Linked DNA regions of Daphnia pulex. The main gene of each other region encodes a partner of the protein of the gene in region 2 in a complex. Links are inferred from orthologs where the notes say so. Each region holds a gene or a part of one and is shown on either strand. Other genes may lie near its edges. The genes, in order: dual specificity mitogen-activated protein kinase kinase 1-like and kinase suppressor of Ras 2-like.

Region 1 (10,117 bases), on a different chromosome or scaffold from region 2:
TGGACACCACGAAACCAAAACCCAATTTTTGTTGTTCTATTCATCATCATAGAGAATAATAAGCTGTAATGTGTGTGTGTGTGTCTCCTTCCTATATCACCTCGCCCGGAATATCCATCGCCGTAGAGTATCTTAACGTTGTGTGTTTCTGTTTTAGCTTCACTATAGACATTATAGAGAGAAATATTACTTTAATAACTCCCGTCTACCATTTGCGGTCATTCTTATCCGATTCTCAAAAAGTATCATGCAATTCCGGTTAAGAAAATCGACAACTACTGGAAGACGGGCGGGGAAACAACATACGAAAAATCCCCCTCCCCTCATAATCCCTCAAGCCGTCATAGGCGTATTTGTGAAGAAGAAAAAAGATAATTGGCCAAATGTGTGTGTTGTAAAGGACAAATACCAATACAGATTATATATACTACCTAACAAACAGATGATGATTTTCTTTGAAAACGGATTAGCGATCTAGAGAGAATTGAAATCTTATCGCTAGATGGCTCAGTCCTTCTATCAAACACAGCTGAGAAAAAGGGGATGTTATGATTACTCTGTATGGTGCGGTTGTTTTCGTTGGTAGGTGTTAAAGTTTCTTCTCTGGTGTAGCGATCCAGGAAAGAAACCAAAAATGAGTGAATCTGCGAATGTGATAGCCTGGGAAGAAGGCGAACCAGCTGCAGCACTTTTGGCACCGGAACAAGCCATGACGGCCGTTGTTTCGTCAAGGCTCGGACAAGTGTTCTTTCTGACTGAAGACGGCAGAGTGTACCTGTCGACTCTCAAACAAGATGGATTGAGTGGGAAATTGCAAGAGTTGGCACTTCCTTGCCAGACTGTGGTTGGTATTGCATGCAATTCGATACACACCATTTTTGTGACTGATCGGGGTAGAGTTTTGAGGTCTGAATTAGAAACCCCTGAAAAAGTAGAGGAGCTGGCCATCAAGCAACCAAATCTCTGCTGCCCTCATGGTGTTGTAGAAGACGGAGGAAGACTCTTTGTAAGAGAAGTTTCTTCCCACTCAAAAAACTTGTTGTTCATCTCAGATTCGGGCAAAGTATGGGCAGTGGATGAAAGCAAGTCGTTGTTGCCAGATAAATTGCCAGCCTTCGAGAACAAAGTACCCATAAGTATTATGTGTGGTAGCAACTTTAGCACCGCTCTCATCCAAGACTGTGAAAATTCTAACGATGATAGTATCAGCAAGCCTGGTGTAGCAAATTCTAGCAAAAGCAGCAGGGATTCCTTGGACAAAGCAAACTCATCAAAGGAAGGTCCTTTGGATGGATTGTGCATGGTTGGTTCCTGTCTAGAGTGTAGAGAGCAAAGTCTTTTGTCTCTGCACACGCTGGATCTCAACGACTCTCAACGAATGAACCAGGAAGATTTCAAAGACAATGTCAACTCTCTAGCTCAAGTTTGCTGGTCCAAGGCAGATCATCTAGTCCGTCAAAGCGCTTTGTTGCTCAACTCGACGCCCCAACTCGACGCGGCCAAACAGTTTTTAACGAAGCAGCTATCGTGGGTCACCGGGTCCGAATCGGATGACTGTAACAATAGTCCAGGAGCGGCGTCATCGTTAGAAAGTGGCAATAACGTGACTCAACAGGTGGCCAGCCGAGTTGTGGAAGGAGTCCGAAACTTGGGCGATGCCGTCAACCGCATGTCTCGGCATTGGAGCGGAACCAGCCAAGAGGAAACTCCATCCGTTCCAGCTGCATCAGCTCCTGTCGAAGTTGCCGGCAGTGAAACGCTTAGTCTACCAGCCGCTTTGCCCAGTAGTAGCAGCGGTGAGGATTCACCCGCAGCACCGGCAACACCTCGATTTATCGTCCGACAGTCGCTTCAGAGTCATCATCGGTGGAAACGCAATGGATCGTCAAGTTTATCCCTCGATTCGACGCTTGTCCGGATGACAGATCGAGAAAAATCTACCGGACTTCAACCGGATCGTCTCGTTTCGTTGGGAAGGCAACTACTTTTTACGTCTGTCTGGACGTGGGGTCAAGGAGGAGTCGGCCAGCTCGGACTATCAGATTGCGTCTCACGCGAAGTCCCCCAAACTGTCCGTCCTCTACTTGGCATAGGCATCTGTAAAGTGGTGTGCGGTTCACGGCATTCATTGGCCCTCACGTTGGATGGGCGTGTACTGGCGTGGGGAGCTAATAACAAAGGACAAGTCGAGCCCGGTGAAGACCTATCTTTCATGTCAGTCCCGACAGAAGTATCCTTACCTTTCCGTACTACCATCCGAGATATTGCGGCCGGAAGGTATACATCAATTTCAATCCAATTGTCTCTATAATTTATTGTTGGCTCATTTTCCTTTTATTTTTTACTACAGAGAACATTCGTTATTGCTGACGAGTCACGGCGAAGTGCTTTTTATGGGATTCTCAATGGCCACTCAAAAGTCCACATTGATGAGATTAAATCTACCGGCCCAAAGCCCGACTGGTAGACCGAGTCGAGTATGGGCTACCGGACCACTTAGTTGTTGTTTGCGCTGCAATCAGAGCTGCCCCTGCTGGCCCCATTGGTCCGAGTTTGTTTTATCAGAACAGCTATTTTTAAGAAATTGCCTGAAAGTCGTCCGTGGCATTTTTGATCATTTGGAATCCGCAACAACATCAACATCAACTACCTCAACCGTCCGTCGAGAGTTGTTCGATCGATACCGAGACTTGATGGCTTGCACGGCCGTCAATGTTCACTCGCTGATCGAATCGGACAATTGTGCCAACCTCAGTATTGGTCTCGTTCGTTGGATTAATGAATTCATGCACGTTTGGCGTGGTTACGGTCAGGCCCTCTGTAACGCCACTGTCGTCCATGCGCTCACACTCAACAAGACCGAAAATGCACTTTTAGATCCAGAATATATCCAACAGGGAAGCGTCGGTCGAGCCGGCAGTGATATCCTGACCACATTGATGAACGAGCCTCTAGGACGACTCAAAGATTATTCATCACAACTGGAGAAAATGATTGAAAGTCATCTTCAACGAAACGATAAAAACATCGATTGTTATAAACATGCTAGTCAACAATGTTCAAATATTGCTGCCGATTTGATGCAGGATTGTCAAACAGCAGATCTCACTAAGACCTTCTGGGATAGTTGTTCCACGAAACTAATGGGTACTACCGTTTAAATTTAAAATTTGTTTTTACTGAATTAGTAAATCATTTATATTTCCGGTTTAGATGCTTTGAGAACTCCAGTCCGTCGTCTGATCCGTGAATCCCGAACTCACCCCATTACTCTGGTTAATTCCGGTCGCTTTTCATCGCATTGGTTCATTATCTTAACTGACGTGCTTGTCCACGTCAGCGGATCATCTAATCATGTCACATATCCATTGGCCACTATTTGGGTCGAGCCGATGCAAGATAGCGATAACATCCAGACCAAGGTATCATCCAAATATTTAATAAACATTAATGTTGACTCATTCTTAGAATGGTTTATTGTAGAATGGACTTTCATTAACGATGCCGGAAGAGACCATGACGCTGGCTTGTCCAACTGCCGGTGACAAGATGGAATGGCTGGTAGCTCTTCAATCTGCCATCAGGCATGCGCTTTTAATTGACGATGTAGGATCCAGCAGTAGCGGACGAACTACGCCACCACTTGTACGGTCCGCCTCATATACTTTTACCAAGTTGCCTCATTTGAAGGATGTCACGTACAAAGGTGAGTCATGCGACACAAAAAGACTACAAATTTTCTAGAATGAAATGAACACGTTTTCCATCGGCAGGGGCTTGGTTGTGTGGCAAAATGCATGGAGAGGGTGAATTAAACTGGCCAGACGGCCGGGTTTACAAAGGAAGTTTTCGGCAGAACCAGCAGTACGGATATGGTTCTTCAGAATCATTTGGCCCCAACGGCTCTACTTATGAAGGCAGCTGGAAGGATGGCAAGATGAACGGATACGGCATTCTCAAGTATAACGAGGTTTCCAGTTACAAGGGATCATTCATTAAAAAACTGCTTTTGAAATTCAGATACGCCAACGGAGATGTTTACGAAGGAAACTTTCAAGACGGCCAACCGCATGGACACGGTACGCTCAAACGAGGTCATTTTCTCACCTCTGCCGCACATGTCTACGTTGGCCAATGGGAAGCTGGGCAAAAGTGTGGCTACGGAGTCATGGACGACATCGTCACTGGTGAAAAGTACATGGGAATGTGGCAAGCGGACGCCAGGCATGGTCAAGCTGTTCTAGTTACTTTGGACGGTCTCTACATTGAAGGCAGCTTTACCAATAACAAGATGACTGGGCAGTGCGTCATGTTATTAGAAGACGGAACGAGCTACGAAGGTGAAGTGGCTGGCGTGGGTATTCTTGGCGGCAAGGGCCTCCTTCAGTTCCCAAACGGTGATATTATTCAGGGTACTTTTCACGGCTCTTGGTCTGATGGAATTAAAATCAACGCCACCTTGACCAAAAATTCTTTAACTGCACAATCACCATTGAGTCCACCTTCCGGACTGTCCATTGGCCATTTTCAACAACAAAACGGATCAGGTGTTCCAGCCGAACGAAAATGGGGGGCCATTTTCCAACAATGCTGCTCAACTCTTGGTCTTTCTCCGAATTGCACGCAATGGACAGCCGATGATTCACTTCGTGCTTGGGACCAGATTGCAGCTGTGCTTAATCAATGTAAACAGAGAACAACCAACGACCATCATATCCGCCCGAAGATACAACACCATCGTCGCCAGGGATCGTCTATTTCGTCCAAGTCAATCAAGTCCGAAAGATTAGCTTCCGCTCAACCAGTATCCGTAGAAATCCCCGAAATTCTTCAGCATATCCCAGACTACGGACGAAATCAGCTTAATGGCGACGAGTTTGTCAAGATAGAAACTTATTTACATATGGTATTGAATTGATTCTCTTGTTTTATTATTGGTGCACTTGGAAACTTTTTTACTTTGCTCCAATTACAGGCTTTAGAATCAGAGATCCATCCATTAGGAAAATTAGCAGCCCAGATAGGAGATGTCTATCGAGCTACTTACGTCGGAGTGGGTGCCCACCCTCGACTTCTACCTCATGCAGTTTCAGAAGTTCACTCGTTTGTTAGCCGTGTTTATGCTTTTGTCCGGCTTCTCTTCCCAGCTCTTCCAGAAGACCGTGCTGTTCATCTGATTCCAAATGGTATGTACAGTCACACACATAAGAAAAAATCAAAAGACTTAAAGATAAAATTTTGTTGATGACAGAACCGTCGAACGATCATCCACAAGAATTGCAGGCCGTGGTTTCAGCCAATACTCTACTTCTGCCCGTACTTTTACCCCGACTCTATCCTCCACTTTACACTCTGTACGTTCTACACAACCAAAAGTTGGACGATCTTTATTGGGAACGACTTCAAAAATGGAATCGACAATCAGATTCGGCTCTAATGAATTTTCTGGGAGTCGATCCCAAGTTTTTTATCGAGGAAGTTGCTCCGGAAGGAAGTCACTTTCCAACAGCTGTAGATTGTCTACAACAGCTGAGTACTACATTTTCTCCTGGGAAGAAGCTCCAAGTTATTCACCAGACATTCCAAGAAGTCAGTCGTTCGGTACAGGCACATTTAGGAGCTGATTATGTCATGAACATGGATGATCTCTTCCCGGTATTTCTTTTCGTCGTTGTTCGTTCGAGAATTCGTCATCTCGGCACAGAGATTCATCTAATAGAGGATTTCATCGATAAGAATGTGCAAAATGGCGAACTAGATGTCATGTTTACTACACTGGAGGTATATATTTTTCTTTAGTTAAATACTTTTTTTTTTTACTAAAATTTTATGTTATTTTGCTAGGCTTCCTACCAGTACATTCAGCATGAGAAGATGACCTTTAATTGAAATCAGAATCAAATTATTTTAAGCGTTCGTTGTCAATCGCAATAAATATAATTATCGTGGTAAACAGAAAATAACAATTTTAATTCGAGCGTCACCAACGTTGTATTTCAGGCAACACAAAGGGTTAACAAAGTGTTTACAGGAAAAGTTTATTCCCTCTGGGACAACTTTTGGCGAGCCAACTTCTTCTTTGAAACCTTCTTTTTGTTGGTAACTTCCTCCTCCTTGACTTTGGAAACAATGTCTTCCTTCTCAGCCAGGATGACTTCCATGTGGCAAGGGCTGCTCATGTATGGGTTGATTCTTCCGTGAGCACGGTATGTTCGCCGACGCATGTATGGAGCACGGTTAATCTGTAAAACAGAGAAGTAATTTTAGACAACTCCTCTTTAAACTTGAAAATGAATTGACAATTCAATTTAAGTCAGATCCGTCTTGAAACATTGCAATCTGTCAGCTAGTAGTCTAGAATGCTTAGGGTTATAATCACACTATTTTGAAAAAAACTTTACACTATGATTCACTCCTGTACCTGAATGTGATCGATGACCAAGTGATCAACATCTAGACCCTTGAGGTCAGCATTGGACTCAGCATTCTTCAACAACTGCAGAAGGAACTCTGCAGACTTCTTGGGCCAACGTCCCTGGGTGGTACCCCATTGTTTAGCCTGCAAAGCAAAACATAGAGATTAGACTCCAAATAGTGGAAAGGCAACACGTTGAATCTTTCTTTAATGTCAGATCCGTCTTGAAACATTGCAATCTGTCAGCACTTTGTCTAGAATGCTTGGAGTTATAATCACACAATTTGGTCAATTTAATTCATACAAAAGAAATGAGCTACTAACCTGAGCACACCGGCCGACACCTCCGTTGTAACGACGGAATGGAACACACTCCTTATGCTGGATGACGTTCTTGAGGAAAGCAACAGCCCTCTTCAATGGCATACGCTTAATGGTGTTGGCAGCCTCCCTCGTGTTCTATTCAATCAAATTCAAGTCGTACGTTAAGAAACTTTCACAAGCGCGAGTATATGTTAAAACAATACCTTGAAGTGAACGCGGAGGTTGGAGCCCCTAGCCTTGCATGACTTGGTCGGGTTGTCCGGTTCACGCGAATATCGACCCATTTCTACACAAAATTGAACAGTTTAATGTAACACACGATAAAAACGTAATTTAATGGATCAACAAAGAACCACGACAAGTTAAAGATGTTTTAAATATCTTTGGATAACAGAAAGAGAACTCTCGTTGACTTACTTCAGAAGTGTTTGAGGGTACAAGAGAAACACCGAACCAAGAAAGAGGACTAAGGTTAACTCCTCTCTCTGCCAATAGGTGGATTCCGCTTCCATAGGGTGCGTTCTTAAATTTTCGTGAATATAATCAATTTTACAATTTTTAAAATTATTGTCGCAATTGTGAAATGTAAATATATTTATTATTTTTCAAAATAAAATAAATGTCAGTTTGCAAATATAATGGAAATGTGTGTTGAAATATTAAAAATTGCAACTACGGATTGTCCGAGGGTTGACTCTTGTCAAAACTTTTTCGCTGAACAATTTTGCAATTCTGATCTGTTGATATAGCCAGCCTACTTGTTTATTCGTGTTTGAGTTCCGCCAATAAGTTTTCTTTTGATGCATTTTTTTATATAGAGAAGGAACTGGAAGAACTTTTACTGTCATCATAAGCTGAGCGAGTTCATTTTAGTTGTAAAGCTTACGAATTTCATACATCGGAAACGAAAGGCAAAATGTCAAAAAACAAATTCAATTTAACTCTTCCTCCTGTGGAACCAGACCCAGTCTCCACCCCCAGTCCTGGAGAAACATCAGGAAGGAGTAATAACATAGCAGCAGCTATTAACTCTGCCAAATCAATGACACAGACCAGTAGTGTAGTTATACATTCTGGAATTGAGTAAGTTCACTATAAACACCAAGTTGTCATCCTCAATGATGTACATTTTTCACAGTAGCGGAAATACAACCATGGGAAATACAACATTAGAGGCTTTGCAAAAACAGCTGGAGGAACTTGATATTGATGAACTTCAACGACAGAGATTGCACAAGTTTCTCTCACAAAAGCAAGAAGTTGGTGAACTGACAGATGATGATTTTGATAAGCTTGGTGAACTAGGTGCCGGAAATGGGGGTGTAGTCACCAAAGTCAGACATCGTCCTTCTGGATTGATCATGGCCAGAAAGGTAATACCAACAGCAGAAAAAATTTAAGTGGTTTTTTTTTAACACAGATGTTTTATTTATGTTTCCCTAGTTGATACATCTTGAAGTGAAACCTGCCATTAAGAAGCAAATAATTAGAGAGCTAAAGGTGCTTCATGAGTGCAATTCACCTCATATTGTTGGGTTCTATGGAGCATTCTACAGGTACCTAATTTAAAACTTTCCCAAATGCATTTGTTAACTTTGGTTTAATTTTTTGTAGTGATGGTGAAATAAGTATTTGCATGGAATACATGGATGGAGGATCATTAGACTTGATCCTGAAAAAAGCGGGTCGTATTCCAGAACAATATCTAGGGAAGATAACAATTGCTGTAAGATGATCTAAAATTAATACTTAATCTATTAAAGGGTTCGAAATAAGAAAAGCTTTTTTGCTTAGGTTTTGAAAGGGTTGAGTTATCTTCGAGACAAACATCAAATTATACATCGCGATGTTAAACCAAGCAACATTCTGGTCAACAGTCGAGGAGAGATCAAAATTTGTGACTTTGGAGTGTCTGGTCAGCTTATTGACTCCATGGCTAACTCATTTGTAGGAACGAGAAGTTACATGTCGGTACGTCGTCTTTAAATAAGTTTAGAAAAGTCATTTTCACTTCGAAATACCATTAAAATGTATTTTTCTGCTAGCCGGAACGATTACAAGGAACACACTATTCGATTCAGAGTGATGTCTGGTCTCTTGGGCTGTCGTTAGTTGAAATGGCCATTGGCATGTACCCTATCCCCCCACCTGATCCACAGGTATTGGCCAACATTTTTGGTGCAAAATTCAGCGAAGATCCTGAGAACATGACTCCGTCTCCTAGCAGTCGATCGCCTCGACAAAGTAATAATCCATTGTTTTTCGCATTTCTTTCAAATGCTTAGAGATCCGTTCTTGAAACCGCAGGCCAATTTCCTGGAGGAGTCGGCAATGGCCCTAGGCCGATGGCGATATTTGAGCTTTTGGATTACATTGTCAATGAACCACCTCCCAAACTACCGTCCGGCGTTTTCTCTGTGGAATTCAAAGATTTTGTCGATCGGTGTCTCAAGAAAAATCCGGCTGAACGACCCGCTCTACGTACACTAATGGTCTGTTCCACAATTTTTTTTTTGTTTTTTTCTGATGTAGTTATTAAATCATTATTCTGTTCTTAGGGTCACGAATGGGTAAAAAAATGGACCTCTGAAAACGTGGAGATAGCTGGTTGGGTATGCAAGATCATCGATTTACAGCCTTCCACACCCACTAAACATCCCGAATAAATTTGTTTATTTTTTTTCTCTCCATCTGATAAACTTTAACAACTTTATTGTTAAAAGAAAGTCCATTTTTTTCTTCTTGTGCTTTTTCTAACTAAAAAAATCTTGGAAGATTACATTGGCGTTCACACACTATCCATCCAACAGTAGCACCCCAAGTCCTTGGGCTGGAAAATCTTCTGTTTCGTTTCGAGGATTCTATTTACTTGTCTACTCATCCGCCCAATTTACCACAGGGTAAGTGGATGTATTGTTTGTTTTGTTTCTTCTTTTCCAAATTTTCAGTCATAGAATTTCTGTGCGCTGCTGTGACATACGACGCGATCATACGCACAAAGTCGATCCAGCATTCTTCCAATGTGTATCTACTCTTTGTTTTCCCCGCCACACTCCAATCTTTTTGTCAAACCGTGAAGCTGCATAGTTAACAATCAAGATGAATTTTTCATCTTTGGTGTCAAGGCTTTGGAAAGAAAAGATGAGGAGGTTGGAATTTTCTTGTTGACGATTTTGGAGCGTTGTGGACTCACCCAAAACGAACATTCCAAGTTATCCTCCTATTCTTTCTTTTTCTACAATCTTCCTGGCCCGCGCCGTTTATTAGTTGCAATTTCTTTCTTTATTCTATTTCCCATCCCTTCTTTTAATGTATAGAAGAGAAGAAAAAAAAATCTGTGTCAACTCGTGGAAGAAATTGTCGCCATTGTGTGTGCTG
Region 2 (9,330 bases):
AAAAGTTTAGCGCAGCTTACGCCAATGCGGAATTCCGTGGTAGTGAGAGGGAGTAGACGAGTAGTCAAGCATAAAACAATTTTTAGTTCGGCTATAGGCCATAGTGGTGCGCATTGGCGTAAGCTGCGCACGACTTTTGGCTATGTCGCGTACTTTTGAATTGCAATAAGATCTATATGAGTGAAGTTAGAGAAACGTAAAAAATGTGAGAAATTCACGGGAAATGCGGAATCTTTTTTAATTAATTTACATTATGCACGAAAATGACATCATGCATAGATACACGGGAAAATGACAGTGCAAACAGCATTAGGGAAATGGCATAGAATTCGAATTCGAATTATATTAACATACGCTGTGCCCCTATACGGCACCCCATACGCACAACGCTAAATCCCCCATTCTTTAAGTTAGTAAATTAGTAGTCTCCTACTTCGTTGTCACCATAGTAATCGTTCAAAGTTTCTTAAGAGATTCTCGCCAAATAGAAATAATCTCCCATCAAGTATGGTTCGTAACAAAGAAATTGCGATCTATTCAAATTATTCCATTGTCCCCTAAAATTAAGAAAAATTAACTATTCTGCGCTACTAATAATCTATCATGCTACAACTAGAGAAAATAATAATATTTAAAAATAATAATATTTAAAAATAATAATTCTTTAAATAAACGTCGTTTTTAGTAAGAAAATCATTAAATGAGACATAACCGAAGGTAACACATGATTTGATAGAGTTCAACCAGAGCAGCGCTTTGACTCTTCTAAACATTCGAAAAAGAAAAAAATGTAAACGCCCTCGGCTATAGATGCTATGGCATCAACCCGCTATCGTTTTTGAACATGCATGAGATTAAACCCTTTTGAAGGTTACACAGGTGTAAACCGTGTAATATAATGCATACAAAGAAAGCTCTACCCTAATACCAGTTCCTATAACTGTTATTATTTCATGATATTTATCGAAGTTTACATATTCTCATCAGTTCATCTTTGTATGCTAACGGTAAAACTGGTTAAAAAAAACCGTAACAAAAGTGTTTCTCGACCCTTTGTTTTGTTTTCACGAAAGCCCCTTCGTTTGACTTCGACTTAAATGGTAAATATGCGTGCAAAGAAAAAAACACAAAGGATAGAAAATTCTTCGTCAGGTAGGAGCCTATTGATGTCCAAGGTCAACAAATTCTCCCCTTGTCTTGACCACAAATCAGTTGAATGTCCTGTTCTGAATGCAAGTCAGTGTTCCTCAAACAAGTCCGGAGCATCGTTGCAGGTTTCAACCAAAGCCCGAAACGGTTAAATCTTCACGAAGTGACAGCAAATGTCGGATACGCAAATATGGATTTCTCTTTGTATTGTGCCGGCTGAGTGGTTGGCAACGAAGCCTCAAGTCACCCTGAAGATTCCTTCGCTCTTCGACGTATGTATAATAGGAACTATTTCTCTGTGGGGTTCCATGCCCCTTAGCCAAGACGTTACACTCGTGATAAAACAGAACGACAGACGTGTTCAAGGTTGAAACCCAACAGGTGAGTCGTCTCACATCGCGCCGCGCTCTTCTCTTACCAGCAAGGTAATCACGTTCGCTCTCACCCAAGTATACTTAGTTGAGCGCAGTTCGTCGACTAAACCAGTCGCCTTCGAATACAAATCATGGTCGGCCGTGTTATTTGGTCGCGCTTGTTAGTTTTAAGTACCCTGGTGTTGGCCGTGCTTAGTTTGCCCACACCGTCTGAGTCTGAGACAAAGAAAACGGGGAATGATGATTTCAATCCCGAAACCGACGATTTCGTGCCCGCCGATCGTTACTTAACTCACGAGGAAATGATTACCTGGCTTCGGAGCGTAGCTCGTCGTCATCCGAAAATTGCCAAAGCTTTTTCGATTGGCAAGAGCGAGCAGGGTCGCGAACTCCTTGTGTTAGAATTGAGTCATTCGGTTGAACGAGGTGAACGTGATCTTCTTATGCCCATGGTGAAATTGGTAGGTGTTTTCTTTGTCGATTTTTTTGTAAATTGAATTAAAGATTTTGTACGCTCGTGACCAAAATTTACTTTGATATACTCACCAGGTTGGTAACATCCACGGAAATGAAGTTGTCGGTCGCCAATTGTTGCTTCGCACCATCTCTCACTTGATTCAAAAAAACAATGTCGATTCAAAAATTACTCGTCTGTTGAACACCACCGATATCTTCTTTCTCCCCTCAATGAATCCTGATGGCTTCGTTAAAGCTCGGGTATGCAACTTTTTGTTTTTTTGCTGCATTTTGTCTTGATGGAAAGCGAAATGGCCCTCTTTTCACTACACGCCATGAAATGGATTAACTAAGCACCCTGATCTCATATTTAAACCCTAAAGAGGCATGAAATTTACGTTTCGCTGCTGAAACAGCATTCAAGCGTATACGCGCAAAATGATTTCATCGCAATTAATCTGAACATACTTTCACCAGAGTTGATTTTACAGTCTTGACAGAACGAGAATAACGGAATAAATTACAAAAAAAGGTCAAGAGAGAGAGAAGCGAAATAAATTAGAGTATTAGACGGTTACAAAAATAACTAAACTTTCATTCTGAAATTAGAAAATTTTTAAAAATAGATCAATGAATATTCTATTCCAGATTTATTGTTGGATAATTATTCCTAATGCAGTCGTTAAGAAAATATTGTTTTATTTGAACAGGAAGGTGATTGCTGGTCAGGCGGACCGGAGGGAGGCCGTCTGAATGCTAATAACATTGATCTCAATCGGGATTTCCCCGATCAATTCAAAACTGAAGACAAATTATTAAGAAGCCAAAGCGAATTTCAACAAGGTAGAGCTTCTGAAACTCAAGCCGTTATCAAATGGATTTTGGACAATCCATTCGTCCTCTCCGCAAGTTTACACGGAGGAGCCGTCGTGGCCAGTTATCCTTATGATGGTTCCGGGTAAATAACTTAATTTTTTAAGTTCATCAACTCCTCGATTAACCTAAATATTCACAGATTTCCCAAAATTATTTTAAGATTCAATAATAAATGTTGTTTTCCTATTTTTAACTGTATGATTTACAGTACTGGTCAACACCAGGGATTTTATAGTGCTGCCCCAGACGACAAAGTATTCCGCAAGCTCTCTCAAGATTACGCTGACCGCCATCCTTTAATGAAAAAAGCCGACACATGTGGTGTGGGATTCAAAGACGGAATTACTAACGGAGCGTACTGGTACGACTTGAAAGGCGGCATGCAGGATTTCAACTACGTCCACTCAAATGCGTTCGAAGTTACACTGGAGTTGTCCTGCTGTAAATACGCTCCGGCTACGGAATTGCCAGCGGAATGGCAATATAATCGTAGACCTCTCCTAAACTACATTGCATCTACCCATCGTGGAGTGCGAGGTGTGTATTGTTTTATTTTCTGTAAATGGTTCAGATTGTATATGAAACCAGACATATTTAATGAAAAATGAGATGATTATAGGTTTGGTCGTTGACAAGGATACAAAGCGACCGATCAGAAATGCTTACGTTCACGTTTTTGGAATTGACAAAAACATCACCACTACAGGTACTTTTCTACTCAGGTTTAAGATTCAATGAGGACGTAATTCAATTCATTCTTTAATTAATTCTTACAGAAAGAGGAGAATACTGGCGCCTCTTAACTCCTGGCAGATACACCATTCAATCTTACGCTGAAGGGTAATTTTAAAAGACACTTTTGATATTTATAAATTGGTGGATGTTCTAATTGGTGTCTAAATTCGAAATGCTTTATGTTTCTTAGATTTAACCCAAGCAGCAGCCGAAACATTGAAATCACAGATATTTATACAGAACAACTCAATTTTGAATTGGAGCCAAAAGTTCGCCAAACGACCATTACTCGCCTTATTTGCGATTAAATGTATATCTAATTATAACAGGAAAGCGCGGTGTTCAACATCCGGAATCGGGAATTTTTTTAAGAATTGAATGTTCGAATTCATGCAACAAACAGCCCTTTTCAGTAAAATTAACCACCCTTTATTTATTGGTGAAAATGAAATGGTGGTAGGTCTGAAAATCAAATACACAGGGAGAAAAAAGTTCTGTTGTTAACGCTACATCTTTTTCTCGATTTTTCACACTCAATAATCCCAGATATTTTAATCATCCGTAATGAGTCAGAGCGAAATTTAGTTTTGCAATTTACGTCAGTAGGCTATTAAAAAATGAACATGTATAAAATAAACGCACCTTAAATAAAATAAAGACATGAACAAAAATGAGAATATCTTCCATGTAAAAGACATTTTTTAGCTGGCGAATTCAATGTTTATAATCACTTCAGAAATTCAAAGTAAAATATCTGAAGACAAATTACAAATGACTGAAACACTTTATTGACAGGCACAAACAAGAGGGAAGGTTGCGGGGACTAAATGAGCGGCGCGCCTACAAACTATCATACCGGCACATGTCAACTAATTTACTAAAATGCACAATATGAGTAGCAACAAGACGAAAGGATTCACTTAATAATGATTCTTTCGCCTGAATGTCGGAGTTTAGTGGAAAATTTTTTTGAAACCAGATTCTTTTTGGCTATGGCCGACAAAATAACTAGCCGATATACTTACAAGAATCATTCGGGAATTATTCCAATAGTCATCTTTCTTGATTAAATTAGCAATATACGTAAACTGCGTAATCACTGATTAGTGAATGATAAGAATTTGATTAGAAAACCGATTCGGCCGATCTCGAGAGATGGACCGGATGAGACGGACTGCGAAGCAAACGTTTTTTGGGTAATCGCTCGAGTATCTTGAGTAACTTGCTGAATTCCGCCCGATCCTTGACATTAAAGGCCCAACATGCCATGAGAATGTCCTTAAGATCACGAGAAGCTTGAAGATTTGCAAGCGACTGCTTCATACCGCGGCCAATCTGCCAAATCATGGCTTCGGGGCAATGCTCCTTGTACGGCCACTCACCACACAGCAACTCGTACCAAACCGTCCTGCATAGAATCAAGTGTGTGTCCAATGAGAAAATTCAATTCATTTATAGTTCAGTTATATGAGCAGTACCCAAAGGCGTAAGCATCGGAGGCCATAGTAAAAGGAAGCTCATCATTTTCTTCACTACTGGGTTTTAAACTTCGCATGACCTCTGGCGCCATGTAGCACAGCCAACCGGGTGGAATACTAAGTGCATCACTCCTCCTAAAATCCAATCAAAATAAATAATTCAACATTAGAAATTACATTAATTCATGTTTTCAATGTATACTGACCCATGGATTTTGCAAAGCTTTGAGACGCTAAAGAGGCCAAAATCGGTTATGATAACTTTTCCATTTTCCAAAAAGATATTTTTAGACTTTAAGTCCTTATGGATGATTCCTCGTGCATGAAGGTAGCCCATACCCTAAGATTGTAGGTAGTAATAACAGAAACATCAATGAATAATCCGCGTAATTGCAGTGACAACAGAACTTTCACTGACGACCAACTAACCTGAGATATTTGCTGGGCAATAATAACCGTTTTATTCATGCTGAATTTGTCTTTGCGTAAGTGAAGATGTGTATACAAGGTCAGGCCTTTACACATGCTCGTCACGAGCGCTAAGGTTGGCAAGTTCATGCATGCACCCATAAATAAAACTAAATTCTCATGCCGAGTTTTACGAAAGGTAGCCACCTGAATTAGAGATGGGGAAAAAATGTGAATTAGCACAAACAGTGAAGAGAAAATAAAAATTATTATTTCTTACCTCAAGTTTGAAAGATTCTAAAACTTTCTCATCTCCAATCTGATCCATATTCAAGAGTCTAACAGCCACATCACCATGCCAAATGCCCCGGTGAACGGTACCAAACCTACCCTGACCAATAGGATCTCCAAGTTCGAGCTCGTGAAACGGTATGTCCCACTCTCGAAGCGACAGCTAATGAAAATGAAAAACAAATACAATTGCTTTCAAATTGCAAATAAATAAAATTTGATTCACTAACGCTATTTTGGCGAGGCCAATGACGATCTCCCGATGTTTCAGTGTCAGAGATTTGACTGTCTTGCGAATCAACTCTGTAGGTGCGCTCCGAATCTGTACTCGTCGAATTTGATCCCGAAGTACCAGAAAGACCAGACACGGAGATAATCTTATTCGAATCTTGTGATGCATGTCCACTTGTTGAGTTCTCGACGGAAGGATTTCCGGATGCTGCCAAAGCAAGATTTTGAGAAAAGAATTTTAAATTCGTTACACATTTAAAACACGGTCTAGAATGTAGAAAATTCCAACCAATTATGGTACCTGGACTTAGGGTGGTGACAGAGTTGATAACGGAAGTACTATTCTTTGCCGACAATGGAACGTGGGATAATGGCGATAACAATGTTTCGGCACTTTGTGCTCGATCAGCTTGGCGAACATCTGTTGTTAGATGACCGTAAAAATTTACATCATTACGACTGAAACATATTTTTAAGTTTTAAATAGTACCAGGAAAGCGGAATTGTGTGATTTGTGATGCCGAAGTTGGCGTGTGATTTGCGGAAATGTGCGAAGGTAGAACTAAAGCTGGGCTTGAGGGAGTTGAACTGCTACAGCTAGATGTAGTCGAACTTGAATCAAAATGTGTAGAGTGTAGACCAAAGCCGGACGTCGACCCACCTCCTATGAAGAAAATTGTGAACAAAATTTTACTTCAGAAGTCCAGTCACATGTTTGGCACAGAAAACTAAAGTAAATTGAAGTCAAACCCTGATTCATATGAATGGCAGGTTGTGTCCTGGACTTTTTCTTGTCGTGTGGCGTGAGTCGGTTCAACGAAGGAGACGGAACCGACGTCGTACTACTACCAATCGTATTACTGATTCCAGTTGTTCGCTGCATGATCGGCGTTTGAGGACCTGCAGATGAGTTTTTTGTGATTGACTAAACTTAAAAAGATTCGATGTCTTACTTAACATATGGAGATCACTTACCATCGTTGATACGCTGACGAACATAGTCTATTAAGCCAGGTGGAAGTTTACAGGACGGCGGTACTTTGGTGGCACAATCCCGATGACATTTATATTTACAATCTTTACATTTTAGACCTAGAACCAGACAAAAAATTAAGAAATGATTTTAAGGTACGTATTATGATATGATTTTTTCCCATTAAGACTTGCCTATGAACATTTGCTTCAAGCAGAGGTCACATACTGTCAACATCTTGAAAGTCATCGTAAATCGGTGATTTATGGTATGAGCCATAACGGCCGGTCCGCCAACAGTGGGAGTCCGTGGAGATTTCGGCGTCGCAACAGTTGCTAAACAGAAAACATGAAACATTGGAAAAAAAACAAACAATAAAAGCTAAGGGGAAAAAAATGCAAATTACATTTTGGTATGTCATCATTGGAGTCGTCTGTGATGCTGCAAGGATCGGTGGCCAATCGGTGTCGCCCTTTGGACGGGGTTGAGGAAGTTGGCACGGCACCAGCCGGCGAGGCTCCAGGCAAATTGCTATTCGAAGTTGGTACAGGAGAACTGCTTCCAGTTACCGCCAAGTGTTCCATGCTACGTCCCAGCCAATAAGCGTTAGGTTTGGTACGACGAAAGCGGGACAGAAGCATAGTACTGGCACCACTACAGAGAAAAGTTATACACCCACCACCCATTCACGCGCGACAATAACGAGGCCATTTAATTACCACGAGTAGAACGTGGATTAATGTTGTTACCAAAATATTTAAATCCAAGCCAATAAGCCATGTAAACCCAATTTGAAGGTAATGGAAACATAGTTAGTTAGTAAAGGACATGGATGGGGGAAATGAATAAAAAGATCATAAAGAACAAAAAATCAGTATTCATGCTAGGTAATATATGAACGTCAGTTAAATGTTTCTGATGCAGTTCTTCTGGTCGAGAATTGTCATCGCCAGCCTTCGTGATGATGTGCATTCGCTTAACAATTCCAAGACATTTCTTAAAATATACATTAATTCTAACATTTCGCTAGAACTGTTGATGCGCTCAGATTTTCGAATAATAAAAGGAATAGTTTTTTTTTACCTGATAATATCATTTCCGTCGATTCTATTGGCTAGCTGGGATTCGTGGGAGGTAGATTTCGTAAGAGGGAAATCCGTCAATAGTGGCGCAGTACCACCAATAACCTGGTTTTTCTTGCGAGGTGGTGGAGTTGCAGGGAATTTCATACGATCTCCTAAATTGGAATTTCATTAGTTTCAACCACGCTAGTTAATAGCCGACTCCATGTATTTTACCTCTTCCTTTTAATAAAGATGGAGTAGAGGGAGGGCTGCGGTTTTCCGAAGTCATTTGCGGAATGGTTTCATGGGCAGTTATTATACTTTGAATGGGGGATGAATTTTGTATAACACTGTCATTGTGCTGTATGTTAGAGGACATTGGCATTGACATTTTTGTAGCATTATCCCAGGAATCCCAGTAAAGCGCTAAGTCAGGTGTTGTTCGGCCACTATTACCTTCCTTTTCATTATGTACCAGAACTTCTGCAATGTCAAAGCTCTTAGAGTTGGATCAGTTAAACATTTTTATAAATGAATATCTTACCAGTATATCTCTTAACACTCTGAAGTGCTCTTATCAAGCGCCTGTATTCATCTTCTTTTGCAGAACACTCATTGAAGATCCTTTTAATTTCATGATCACTGAGTTCTTGCAAAGATTCAAGAGATTGAAATTTGGCACACAAGGTTTCAACAGATGGCTGAGATATTCCAACAACTTGAAGCCATTGCTTGATTGACGGAATGTTTTTGACTTCATATGGTAATCCCTCTATGGGAATTTTGGCTTTTGCAACTAGCTGTTTGCTGAATAATTTGACTAGTTTACCCTGTTAAAATATTGAAATGATTTAATTCAGAAAATTCTTTTAAATAGTAAACATCTTACCTCTATGGTTCTGATTTCTTGTTGAATCAACTCAGCACTGGTAGAGCACTGGGTTCTCAACCCTTCTAGATGTTTAGCATGAATGTCTATCATTGCATTGATATCTAAGAGCGTTTGAATGGTGTTACAGCTGTTGACCACAACAACAGCTTTCTTTGTGATTCCAGTATCCATTCTTAAGGGTATCTATATCTAGTACTTTGGTTGTTATTGCAGAACTTTACGTACGAAATTGCATATTATTCAGACGCAAACCGTCAACACTCAAAGCTCTTCGGACTCCCGACTAATCATGTTTCCAAAGGCTTCCTCACCCACCGTACTTCTTTGTTATATGACTATCCAATGTTTTAGAAATCCATCGCGGTGTATAAGCGGTTTAAACGAACGAAAATGCACAGAGTTC

What was found.
Region 1: the proteins of kinase suppressor of Ras 2-like (region 2) and dual specificity mitogen-activated protein kinase kinase 1-like are in contact, whole or in part, in a cryo-EM structure (PDB 8BW9), measured with the Drosophila melanogaster proteins. The link is inferred for Daphnia pulex from reciprocal best matches to the Drosophila melanogaster genes ksr and Dsor1. Residues at the interface, in NP_001287177.1 of Drosophila melanogaster: Gln767, Tyr828, Asp830, Met831, Gly832, Leu833, Gly834, Val835, His837, Arg849, Ala850, Leu851, Gln852, Asp888, Gln889, Pro890, Ala891, Glu892, Ser893, Ile895, Trp896, Gln897, Gly899, Arg900; in NP_511098.1 of Drosophila melanogaster: Gly98, Gly99, Lys123, Asp236, Met238, Ala239, Asn240, Ser241, Phe242, Val243, Gly244, Thr245, Ser247, Met249, Arg253, Leu254, Gln255, Gly256, Ala310, Met311, Ala312, Ile313, Phe314, Leu317, Asp318, Val321.

Annotation. Positions count from the first base shown.
Region 1 is NC_060027.1:2,189,087-2,199,203, forward strand, and holds the start of dual specificity mitogen-activated protein kinase kinase 1-like, read left to right. Parts: upstream 1-7,409; 5' UTR 7,410-7,655; coding exon 7,656-7,822; intron 7,823-7,877; coding exon 7,878-8,112; intron 8,113-8,182; coding exon 8,183-8,295; intron 8,296-8,353; coding exon 8,354-8,465; intron 8,466-8,533; coding exon 8,534-8,710; intron 8,711-8,784; coding exon 8,785-8,983; intron 8,984-9,024; coding exon of another isoform or gene 9,025-9,046; coding exon 9,047-9,231; intron 9,232-9,297; coding exon 9,298-9,405; 3' UTR 9,406-10,117. Other genes in the region: alsin-like, read left to right, coding at 635-2,277, 2,351-3,147, 3,214-3,422, 3,484-3,706, 3,774-3,960, 4,021-4,906, 4,976-5,186, 5,252-5,781 and 1 more; 60S ribosomal protein L17-like, read right to left, coding at 6,039-6,242, 6,422-6,559, 6,740-6,874, 6,943-7,023. UniProt on the Drosophila melanogaster protein: Required downstream of Raf in the sevenless (sev), torso (tor), and Drosophila EGF receptor homolog (DER) signal transduction pathways.
Region 2 is NC_060019.1:3,428,382-3,437,711, forward strand, and holds the end of kinase suppressor of Ras 2-like, read right to left. Parts: 5' UTR 9,099-9,330; coding exon 8,925-9,098; intron 8,866-8,924; coding exon 8,580-8,865; intron 8,519-8,579; coding exon 8,270-8,518; intron 8,209-8,269; coding exon 8,055-8,208; intron 7,626-8,054; coding exon 7,378-7,625; intron 7,307-7,377; coding exon 7,166-7,306; intron 7,091-7,165; coding exon 6,974-7,090; intron 6,899-6,973; coding exon 6,749-6,898; intron 6,663-6,748; coding exon 6,489-6,662; intron 6,420-6,488; coding exon 6,300-6,419; intron 6,207-6,299; coding exon 5,998-6,206; intron 5,931-5,997; coding exon 5,757-5,930; intron 5,684-5,756; coding exon 5,498-5,683; intron 5,409-5,497; coding exon 5,275-5,408; intron 5,204-5,274; coding exon 5,069-5,203; intron 4,999-5,068; coding exon 4,716-4,998; 3' UTR 4,356-4,715; downstream 1-4,355. Other genes in the region: carboxypeptidase D-like, read left to right, coding at 1,655-1,984, 2,073-2,240, 2,690-2,937, 3,064-3,392, 3,475-3,561, 3,632-3,695, 3,781-3,898.